Linked DNA regions of Arabidopsis thaliana. The protein of the gene in region 1 interacts with the protein of each later gene in a pairwise test. Each region holds a gene or a part of one and is shown on either strand. Other genes may lie near its edges.

Region 1 (3,384 bases):
TGGCTCGTTTTATTAACACGCCTCTCTATGTTGTTCATGTGATGAGTGTTGATGCAATGGACGAGATTGCTAAAGCTCGAAAATCAGGTTTTCTGTTACAACTCATGTAGGACTAACCTTTTGCTTTTCTCATTGTATGGACATTATCCTGTTAGAAATCAATCTCCTATCCGAACATCCACTAGTGCAATAACATATGTGTAGAAAAGTACCTTTCAAATTTTTACTTAGTATTTGGCTTAATAAATATGAAAAGTTTTTTTGTTATGTATTTCAGGACAGAAGGTTATTGGAGAGCCTGTTGTGTCTGGATTAATCCTTGATGATCATTGGCTTTGGGATCCTGACTTCACAATTGCGTCCAAGTAATAAATCCTTCAGTTCTGTTAATCAAATGATTCCCATTTATTCTTTCAGATTTTCAAAGTTTTTCTCAATATTTCAGGTATGTCATGAGTCCACCTATCAGACCAGTAGGACATGGGAAAGCCCTACAAGATGCCCTTTCCACAGGAATCCTTCAGGTTTCTTTCCTCGCTGTGCATAAACTAGAGAATTGCATGACCTGTAGCATCAAAATGTTAAGATCTTCTAAACACCTTTTTCTCCTTTTATTGGGATAATCTCTGCAGCTTGTAGGAACTGATCACTGCACTTTCAATTCTACACAAAAAGCTCTAGGACTTGATGATTTCCGCAGAATACCTAATGGTGTTAATGGTAATAGCTGACTTGACTGGTTTCTTGCTTTCTCTGCTCACTGCCCCTGCTAACCTGTAAATACTTTTGAACTTGTCCATATGTTTAGGCCTTGAGGAACGGATGCACTTGATATGGGACACGATGGTGGTAAGTACTTGTGGAATAATAAATTCTTCTTTCTGTACAGAAGTTTTAATCGTTTTCTGTATATCCTAATCCAGGAGTCTGGCCAACTCTCAGCTACTGATTATGTTCGAATAACCAGCACTGAGTGGTATATATGCTCTTTCGAAGCTTCTTTTTAATGTTGAAAATTTGCTTTTTCCAATGAGCTTTTACTTGAAAGTTATGTGTTTGCATTTGAAATGACTTTAAGTTTGTCAGTGCTAGAATTTTCAACATATATCCACGGAAAGGAGCTATCCTTGCTGGCTCGGATGCAGATATTATCATATTGAATCCAAACTCAAGCTACGAGATTAGCTCAAAGTCTCATCATTCAAGATCAGACACAAACGTCTACGAGGGCAGAAGAGGAAAGGTAATGATACCCTTTTTACAAACAATTCGTCTTTACTGATTTGTATAATCTCTGAGCAATCATAACCTTTTATTTTATTGGGGACTTGATTGTTAAATCTCAGGGAAAAGTTGAAGTGACAATAGCAGGAGGACGAATTGTGTGGGAAAACGAGGAACTTAAAGTTGTTCCAAGAAGTGGCAAGTATATAGAGATGCCTCCTTTCAGTTACCTTTTCGATGGTATTGAGAAATCAGATGCTAATTATCTATCTTCTCTTCGAGCTCCAGTTAAGCGTGTCAGAACTGAAGCTACGTAAAGTGCAGGTATCTATCTGCATATCGTGATTCTGTAAGAACAATTGTACATAATTTGTATTAAAAGTATTGAAAGAGCGATTATGAATAATGTGCATGTAGTCTGGTTTTGAGAAAAAATAAAAGATTGTAAAATTTATCCGTGAGTTAATTAGTCTATGTTCTCTTTATCTCAAATCCTGTGTGTATTAGAAGAAAAAGAGGAGACATGCGAAAAGCTTCTTAGTTTAAACATTACTGTTTCCAATAATCAAGCTTTTGAGCTGGAGGCCGCACAGGTATATAAGGCTGCTTTTTTAGTAGGTTGATCAACACTGAAAGGCGTTCAGGTTTTTGCCATCAAACCAGAAATAGATATCGGTTTGGTAAATTACTTTTGGTTTTAATGGTTTACATAAAATCGTCAATCAAAATCCCCCAAGCCTGCATTCGGAAAGACGATTATACCCTTTAATTCTTCCACCCTATAAATACTCGCATCGCATCAATCGTAATCAGAACTATTAACTTTCATTTTCCGATAGAAGAACTTTTTTCACGGCGGCGATAACAAATCACCGGCTAATAAAGGAAGGAAAAGAAGAAGAAGAGAAGCTATGACAACAATCAGTCTTCGCAAGAGTAACACCAGACTCCCACCGGAGGTGAATCGCGTGCTCTACGTTCGTAACCTTCCCTTTAACATAACGAGCGAAGAGATGTACGATATCTTCGGCAAGTACGGCGCAATTCGCCAGATTCGAATCGGTTGCGACAAGGCGACGAAAGGTACTGCCTTCGTCGTTTACGAGGATATCTACGATGCCAAGAACGCCGTCGACCATCTCTCTGGCTTCAACGTCGCGAATCGGTACCTAATCGTGTTATACTACCAGCACGCGAAGATGAGCAAGAAGTTTGACCAGAAGAAGAGTGAAGATGAGATCACCAAGTTGCAGGAGAAGTATGGAGTCTCTACCAAAGATAAGTAATTGTCCTTGAATTCGATCTTCTTATGGTCGTTCTGTTACTGCTGCAATTTAGGGTTTTGAAATTCTGGGAGATGTGAAACTTTCTTTTATCTGTATGAATTTAGTGGAGTTCTTTATGTAAGGTTTGCTCTTTTGTCATTTACATCGACCAAGCAATGAAAAATACATCTTTTAATCCCAAATTAGCTATTGCTGTGACAATTTTTTTTGTGCTTTGATGCAATTTTCCGAGATTGGTGTTCAGTGTTTTGCTAGGAACTAAGTAAGAACGAAAAATCACTAACACATACAAGAGAATTGAAAAAGAAGAACTTAAGTACATTGAGAAAATATACATAATTCAACAGCTCTCCCAAATCCCCTTTCAAGTCTGTTAATATGCATTGTGGTTGCGATAAACGTTCCATTGTCTATATTGTTCCATTACCATCAGCCTCGACCTGTATGATTCGCAGAGCCGAACAAAATAAAGAAAAACAGAAAATAGTGTTAGTCTCCTTGCTGCTCGGCGTTGAAACTCTTGCAAGTACAAGAAGTACTCATAGCTTCCGTTAACTGCTGACTTCATTTTCTGACAACCTTGTACCTTTGCTTAGTAAGTCCCTGTCTTAACTCCTCGAGTGTAATTGTTCCACTGCTATCAGTGTCCATACCTTTAAACTTCAACCCCATGATCTCTTCCTCTGACAAGCAGTTGGTCGTTGTTTGGAATCAGAGTTGAGCATCTTTTTGTTTACAGTTTTATGATGCAGGGAGAGAGTATGGTGTGGTGTGTCAACCAGTTGGATTTTGATCAAATGAGGGGTACTATATTGAATGCACTTGCTGATGTTTATGTGGAAGATGGAATTATTTTCGCACTGCAGCCAAACAT
Region 2 (3,952 bases), on another chromosome or scaffold:
GTTCGTTTTGGTTCTTTAGTTGGTGATTTTGATTTTTTTTCGGATATTATTTTCATGTAAACTTCACTGAAATCTCTCATGGAGCTTTGAGACACTTCTCTGAATCTTGAATCTCTTCCTACCAACTCAAGCGCGCTTGAACCGTGATTGTTGTTGAAAGGAAGCCCTCTTTGTAGAACAGAGTAACGGCGGTCCATGAGCTTCATATTTGGTCAATCACCGTCGGCAAAGTTTCTTTAGCTTCACAGGTTAGCATCAAGCCCGAGGCAGACACAGACGCGATACTTGACAAGGTGATTGAATATATCAAGAGACATCATGTAACTATTCAAGTAGAAAAGGAACAGAACCCTTAGATTCGGGGTCTGTGAATCTTGAAGAACACGTCTTAAATCAAAATGATACATATCACTTGTTCTTGTGGAACTCAAGAACTGAGAAACAGAGAGATGTGAATGGAACTTGGACATTAGAGAATCCGGCGAGACGAGCTAAGATCTCGAATTCTTTCTTTGTTCGTTCTTTCCCTGATGGGTTCATGTTCATCATGAACAACTCAAACTGAAACAAGCTTCTGTCTAAGAGAGTGTCTCCTGGGAACTCTGGGATTACCATATCGACTACAATCACCTTCCCATTTGACGGTAACGACTGATAACAGTTGGAAAGTATCTTCACGCAATGGTCATCGTCCCAGCTATGGAGCATCCACTGTTATAAGTTGTAGCAAACACACAAGAAACCTAGATATTATCTTTTTTTAAGTATATGATTCTGTTAAGACTTGAGAAAGCTTTTAAAAAAGTTAACCTTCATGAAAATAGCTTCTCCTTTAGGAGTGTTTGTAAACATATCTCCAGCAACATGCTCAATTCCTACAACCATAAAAAGTTATGACATTAAAGATCATTTACTATACAACAGAATATATTCAAGAACTTGTATCTGTACCTGGAGAAGGTAATGAAGTGTTGATAACAGTGGGCAAATCAAAGTTAATAGCTTTGATAATGTGAGTATGCTTAGAGATGATTCTACTGAGAAGAGAGCCATCTCCACCACCAACATCAACCAAAGACTTCACACCATCAAAACCATTGTAGTTCTTTAGAAATTCTTCTATGAATACTTCATTGAAACCTTTCATGGAGCTTTGGAACACTTCTCTGAATCTTGAATCACTGCCTACCAGTTCAACCGCGCTTGAACCGTGAGTGTTGTTGAATGGAAGCCCTCCTTCAAGAACAGAATCTTTAAGGTTGTACCTTTTTATAGGTAAATACAACATCAGATTGCATAACAAGTCAAAGATGATAACGTTTTAAGACGAAAGAGTGAGGATGTTGTTAATGATGTTACCACATATCAGTCACGACCTTGTCCTGAAACAGATTCACCATCGGAGCCAACGATCCACCTCCATTTTGGTTCTTGGTGAAGTACTTGGCAACAGGAGCTAAGCCATAGATTGCAAATGGCTCACCGTGTTCAGTAGAAACAGAGCATGTGAGTATAGAGTAACTCGCAAGAAATCTCAGAATCCGATTGACCAAGCTTGAATCATGATGTTTCTTTGTCTCATTAGACAACAAAGAAAAGATCTGAGAAGCAGAGGAAGGACCAGATTCAGCTAATATGTCAAAGAGACCAAGATCAATGGCTGTCTTAAGAACCATGGGAAGAACAGAAGAGCTTGATAAGATCATTGCGTACGAGGAGAGGTTTTGTTCTTCCATTTTCTAAATTTTTCTTGCTTCCTGAATCTCTGAAACAAAGCAAAAGCTTTTGTCAATTCTAGTCAAATTGTGAATGCTTCATTTCTTTAGACTAATAGTTTCTTCTCTTTTTTTTGACCATTCTGGCATGGAGACGTACGTAAATTCGCCAAGTAAACTAAAGAACAAATCAAAGTTTTTGAGACTGAGGCCCAATGGGCTTTTAATTGACGACCATTGGGTTTGTTTATAGTGAACCGCGGAGCAGAGGATCATTTATCTACTTTATTTGTTTCATCTGTCACTCACTGTTAAGGAAGGTCTTGCTGCGCTAAGAAAGAAAAGAAGAAGAAAGATGCCAGGAGCAATTGTGGAGGAAGAGAAATCTCAGATTGAATCCATCAAAGAGCAATTGAAACTCGAGGTTCGTCTTTTTTTTTCTTTTCCTCCGAGCGATTTTGTTTCCGATTTGTTGTTGTCGTCGAATTTGATAATGGTTTCTGGTGGAAACAGAAGGAAGATGATGTTGTTGTGGAGGATGTGAAAGACGGAGAGGAAGAAGACGATGATGAAGACGATGAGGACGTCGAAGGTAATGTACTCTCTCTTTCATTTCATTTTCCTTACTCTCTCTTTCATTTCATTTTCCTTCCGGTTTGATTTATTTCGGTTAACCGGAATTTACTCGTTTGATTCTGATTCATGCTTTGATTTCGAGTGGTCTATGTATGTTTCTAGAAACGTTAGTGTATAGATAAGATTTGTCTTTTAGGTTTGTAGAAAATCAGAAAATTGTTGAACTTGAGGTTCATAAGCCCTAGATTAAGCTTGAGCTATAGCTCTTAAATGTGAATTTGTTTCTCTATGGAACACTAAAAAGAGAAACCTTTGTTAATTTCGGGTTTTGTTTCAATGTTTTGGCTGTGTAGTTGAAGGGGAAGGTGGAAATGAGAATGCAAAGCAAAGTAGAAGCGAGAAGAAAAGTCGCAAAGCTGTTCTAAAGCTTGGCATGAAACCTGTCTCAGATGTCAGCAGAGTGACAATCAAAAGAGCCAAGAATGTAAACAAATCTTCTAACAATCAATAAACTCTCATGTCTCTGGTTATAAGTAACATAGGTTTGATGATTGTGGAAAATATTGCATCTATGTCAGGTGTTATTTGTCATCTCGAAGCCAGATGTTTACAAGAGTCCCAATGCAGAGACTTACGTCATTTTTGGAGAGGCCAAGGTCGACGATTTGAGCTCTCAGCTACAGACTCAAGCTGCTCAGAGGTTTAAGATGCCTGATGTGACATCCATGCTACCTAACGCCGGTTCTGAAGCTACCATGGCTCCACTAGCAGAGGAAGAAGACGAAGACGATGTTGATGACACTGGTGTTGAAGCCAGAGACATTGATCTTGTCATGACCCAAGCAGGTGTCTCCAAGGCCAAAGCCGTCAGTGCTCTAAAGGCTAATGATGGGGATATCGTTTCAGCCATTATGGAACTCACTACATAGAGTTGAGTAGTAGAGCCACCTAAATTGTGCTTTTGTTTCATTGTTTCTTGTCTCAGCTACCATTTTCTTTGAACATTATTAATTATGTCTCCCCTTGATTTGAAGTCATTATCTGTCTACTCTGATCAAAGTATTTAATTTGCGGTCATTATAGGCACTATATAACAAAAGTGTGATGACGTAGTAGTTAACAAAAGAGTAACAGTGGTTTGTTTATACATCTCTTAATCAAAGAGTCAGGACCATAACAAGAAAACATTACAATCTTCAGCAATCAATAGGCTCCACGTCCAAACATTTCCCAGGTTCTGATAAGAAAAAAGACCAATTTATTCAGTAGTGATTCTGAGAAATAGTATCAGTGTTCATTCTCTTGAATCGACATGACCATAAGTAAAATAAAGGGTAACTTGTAGAAAGGAGTACCAACTTCATCTTTCTGCACAATTAGTCATGTGTCAGCCACTTCTTAGGAAAATGATTTGTATGCCTTATCTAGTCTCCATCCAGAAATTGGAGATCTTGAGGCTGTTCTTTGATATTTTACATGCCAACCTGCAAAATCAAAAAAAATCTTGGGCAAGCCTTACCAATCTGACATGTCATTGCCCTTCAAAGTATTTTTAGAGGGGATGGATGATTTGATGTCACCTTTCTAATATCTTCAAGGATATGGGTTCGAAAGAGAAGTCTCGTAGACCATCAAACACCTGTCTGCTTCAGCCTTCAGCC
Region 3 (4,289 bases), on another chromosome or scaffold:
TTGATCTTGATCTCCAAGAAAAGGTAGAACTATTACAGGGGCCTATGACCGTTTTTCTTCCTCTATGAATCTTGGCACACATCTCTTTCTAACTTATGCTACTCGGAAAATATGTTTCAGGCTCTTACAGCAATCCAAACTCTTCTTCAACTTAAATCCATAGAGCCTCAGGTTCTCAAAGAGTCCTGCGGGTTGGAAGAAGCATTAGAGAGAATGAAGCTACAGCTGGAGGAATCAATGGCGGATGAATACAAGAGAGACTATGCTGCAGATGTGGAGAGCATTCGTGGTGAAGTGGAACTGATCTTCCGCCAAAAGCTTGGACTTTTATGAACACCATGATCAGTAAGAAAGCAACTCCCTGTGCGTTAATTTCTGGTGGGAAAAGCTTTAGCTGTAGGAGTTGTAGACAAATTCTAACTGCCTTAGATAGACTTAAGATGTGTAACTTAGGCGGATCTTGCTGATCCATTTTGCATGTTATTGCCTCTACTCGAGCGGGTTTCTTCCCCTCATCTTTACTTTCATATCATGTTTGCAAGGTTTTATGTATAGTATTATGAACTTCCACAATTTTCTTGATTCGTGTGCCATGTAAATGATGGGGTTGCAGAAATGTCGGTTTTACAGTGTTAGAAAAAAATAAGTTAAAATAGAGATCACTCAAGCTTTGTCACACGGCAGGGTTAAAAAAGATATGCGGTCAGTTTCCTCCTGACCTCGACTGCAAATGCGCCTATGGCTGCGTACTCATCAAGAGCCTTCTCAACTATGTTGCACCGATTAAATTCGGGCAAGAACAGCCACAATGCCGTCACCATCACAAAAGTGAGTGTCAAAACCTGACTGATTGCTTTCGGGAATCTCCACCTACCGTTAATGGTTTTCTTGATGGCGATCTCCACGGTCGTGCAAAATCCATTTATGAGGAAGAACCACATCATCTTCCAGTCTGGCCTCAACCGTCCCATGTAGAAGAAGATGAGCTCGTGCATTATCCCAGAGACAACAAACGTCCCGAAAGCTGCAAGAATCTGGGAATAGTTCGGGCCCAAAACCGAGAACAGTTGAAGTGACGGTTCGTACACGGTTGGCCGTAAGATTCCAGTGACCATCAGGTTCCATCGTCTCCCCCAGAAATCTTGAAGTGATGTCGCTAGGTACGGCTTGTTGAACTGTGGCTCGAGCTCAAGATCCGACATGGCTCGAACCGCAGCAGCTGTGGCGGCAAGGATGATCTCAAGGGCGAAATATATGTGGATCGCGTAGAGAGTCAGCACGACTTTCTCAGGCAATTTGGTACTGTATTCGTAGGCTTTGATGATGAGAACCACAAAAACTGCCTTTATGGTATAAATCAAAGGACCCTCTGTGGATCCTTCATGGGAGTGAGTTTTTGTAGGTTTTGGGCTCAGCTGAATCTTGATGGGCAAGCAAGAGACAGCTAAGAAAATAGGGAGAGATAGGGGTTTATGGTTTGAAGAGAGAGGACCGCGCCCTAATGCAAATAATAAGAGCTTGAAATTTGCTAGCCAAGCGATGAAGAAAGCCGTGATGCCGAGTAAATGTAAGGAATATATCAAGAAAGGTACTATGAAGAAAATGAGGAAGACAGGGAAAAATAGTATGAGCCTTTTGATTCCTTTTGGAACCAATTTGGCAATGAAAAAAGTGTAACACAGTGAGATGATCACTAAACCCCATGCCTTGATGAAACTCGCCATTTTTGCTTCTTGAACTCAAATCTCGTCGGGAAGCAAGATGATGATGATAAACACGTTTACAAAACGTGTCCGCCAGCGAACACTAAATAATGATAGAGACGTGCAATAAGTTAAAATCCATGAGAAAAGTCTTCTTCTTTTTCTATACGAAACAATTTGACAATTGACATTAAAGAACCAATTCTCTTTCTTATAATATATTATTCATTGGGGTCTGGGGATATGGTAAATGGCTTTGCTTATTGTTCCGTCGTAATTTCTAGTAATAAAACCATTTCAAAGTTTGGTACAGACAAAAAAAAAAACATTTTAAGGTAATCTCAAAACCAAAAAGCCTATCAATCTTTGTACTTGGATGTTTTGTTGTTGCAAGGATTGCAGAGGAAACCAACGAGTTTCTAACTTTGATTCTCTGTAAGATTTTTCTTTCTTGGGCCATGTCAAAAAATTATAAAGAGTTGACTACTGTTTTATTCATCCACTATGTTAATCAAGAACATATTCTTCAACACCATCTTTACTTTAATCAAAAACCCTAATAATATCACCATAATTCTATGTCCCAAACAGAACAGGTGTTTTCTTTGGAGATCTTGAGTTTGGACCTCAGAATCAAAGATATATAAAGATGAATGAGGAAGAAGATAAAGATCAAGATCGAGTAACGAGAGGATGTAGTCACACTCATAGCTGTAACCCTCCAGGCCCAGAGGATGCTTCTCACTCCCACACATGCTTCCACGCTCACACTCATCTCATCATCTCTGTAATAATATCTCTTCCCTTAAGATATGGTATGTTTCTGATGATATTTTAATGGATTGTTATAGATACATATTTTTATGTTGCAGCAGGATCAGCAAGAGAATGATCATTCTGACAGTAGCAACAAGAAACGGTTATGTGGTAATAGAGAGGCAGTGAGGAAGTACAGGGAGAAGAAGAAGGCTCGCACTGCATACCTTGAAGATGAAGTGATGAGATTGCAATCTCTGAATGAGCAATTCCTTAGAAAACTTCAGAGCCAAGAAATGGTGGAAACTGAATTGATCAGACTCCGGGCTCTTCTGGTAGAGATGCAGGGGAAAATTGAAGTTGAACTTTGTAGTTTCTCGTTTCAGAAACAATGCAACGGTTCTGGTTTTGTGTTCAAAGAAGGTGATTTCTCCTACTATTTGGTTTACTAGTTGAAATTGGTTGTCAACAATCTGATACGTTGATGAAAAATTTAGCATTAAGAGGAAGAACTAGTAAATAGCTAATGAAATTTGAGCTACTGAAATTTTATTGAACAATACGAAACGCTAAAGAACTAGTTTCATTTATTTGGTTATCGTCTTAGTAAAAATCACATTTTCGAATAATGAAAACGTAAACTAATAGTAAACCATTCATCACCATCATTTTTATACAAAAGTGACCTAGACCTAATCTTGACACAATTTTGGATCTCGTGTAATCACACAGATGGATGCAACTTAGCAACAAGTAATATGATGTGTGAAGCGGCAAGAGTGGAGTGCGAGGAGGGCCAAACACTTCATGATCCTATTCAATCTTTTGTTCCTCAACCACCACCATTCTCACGTTAAGCGTTTACGGGCTGTGGTATTGTGTGTATATATATACATATGGGTTTAATTAGGGGCATAGAGGTCGGATTCCAATATAGTTAACATATACACAGATTGGTAACTTATTCTACATATGTCTATTTTAAGGGTACCAAAACATCTTGATGTGGAATTGATTTTGAAATGAAGAGGAGGATGATTGTAGATTTGTAGTTGTATGTATATATGATGATAATTGTGGGCTTAGAAGATCTTTGGGGGTCCATTTATAGATTCTCTATATGTGGGTATGGTGAATACCCAAACCAATAATAGATAAGGACTTAAGGTATGCATCATACATGCATGTGTATATCATAAATTTCAAATGCAAATGAATTCCATTGGTGTGGAATAGACTGCCCCAATCATTATTTTTTTTTTTCAATTCGCCTCAAACATTTGCGCATAATAATCATTCTCCCCCATGTAAAATTTACATGCGAATCAAATATTTCTGGATGAGTCAATGATAAGGCCGCAATGTTAGATTTTTGGGGTAAATTATTTAGCAAAGAGTATATATACTTTATAATATTGAAAACACATAATCATAGAGTGAAGTGTTAGGTGCCTCGGCTCTTGTGACTAGACTAGACCACTGCTTTTGACACCCAAAAAATAACTATTATAATCATTGCTTTCCTTTGTGGGTCATTCTTCTTTTATAAAAAGGTCCTTTCGAAATTTTAAATTTTCAAAAAATAATAATTCTTTTTTAACCCTACATTAATTTAGAACAATCATGTCTTTTCATCTTTAATCCTACCCTCTCATGAATATTTTATTAAAGCAAAAAAAAACATACTCAATACTTTGAATATGTGAAACTACGTGTGTAAGATTTTTTCTAGATAATTAGTTATGTTGCTTCAAATAAGAAACCTATGGAATTGGTCAACACATTTGACAATAAATCATATGCCCATGAGATTAATTAAGACAGATTTTA

Evidence for each region.
Region 2: the proteins of AT5G12190 (region 1) and NACA5 interact in a two-hybrid assay, tested with the Arabidopsis thaliana proteins (one large-scale study listed by BioGRID).
Region 3: the proteins of AT5G12190 (region 1) and BZIP24 interact in a two-hybrid assay, tested with the Arabidopsis thaliana proteins (one large-scale study listed by BioGRID).

What each region holds. Positions count from the first base shown.
Region 1 is NC_003076.8:3,939,857-3,943,240, reverse strand, and holds AT5G12190 (RNA-binding (RRM/RBD/RNP motifs) family protein), read left to right. Parts: upstream 1-1,804; 5' UTR 1,805-2,135; coding exon 2,136-2,510; 3' UTR 2,511-2,760; downstream 2,761-3,384. Other genes in the region: PYD2 (pyrimidine 2), read left to right, coding at 1-87, 278-365, 446-524, 633-720, 809-849, 924-976, 1,087-1,243, 1,347-1,541. UniProt on the Arabidopsis thaliana protein: May be necessary for the splicing of pre-mRNA.
Region 2 is NC_003070.9:11,964,477-11,968,428, forward strand, and holds NACA5 (nascent polypeptide-associated complex subunit alpha-like protein 5), read left to right. Parts: upstream 1-1,946; 5' UTR 1,947-2,070; coding exon 2,071-2,139; intron 2,140-2,228; coding exon 2,229-2,307; intron 2,308-2,644; coding exon 2,645-2,775; intron 2,776-2,869; coding exon 2,870-3,220; 3' UTR 3,221-3,367; downstream 3,368-3,952. Other genes in the region: AT1G33020 (F-box and associated interaction domains-containing protein), read left to right, coding at 177-356; AT1G33030 (O-methyltransferase family protein), read right to left, coding at 409-711, 811-875, 952-1,265, 1,360-1,736; AT1G33050 (uncharacterized protein), read right to left, coding at 3,885-3,952. UniProt on the Arabidopsis thaliana protein: May promote appropriate targeting of ribosome-nascent polypeptide complexes.
Region 3 is NC_003074.8:19,281,855-19,286,143, reverse strand, and holds BZIP24 (basic leucine zipper 24), read left to right. Parts: upstream 1-1,951; 5' UTR 1,952-2,079; coding exon 2,080-2,138; exon of another isoform or gene 2,139-2,294; coding exon 2,295-2,490; intron 2,491-2,575; coding exon 2,576-2,882; intron 2,883-3,191; coding exon 3,192-3,316; 3' UTR 3,317-3,754; downstream 3,755-4,289. Other genes in the region: AT3G51980 (ARM repeat superfamily protein), read left to right, coding at 1-23, 121-333; ASAT1 (acyl-CoA sterol acyl transferase 1), read right to left, coding at 687-1,724. UniProt on the Arabidopsis thaliana protein: Transcription factor involved in the regulation of salt stress response. Functions as a negative transcriptional regulator of salt stress acclimation response by regulating cation homeostasis.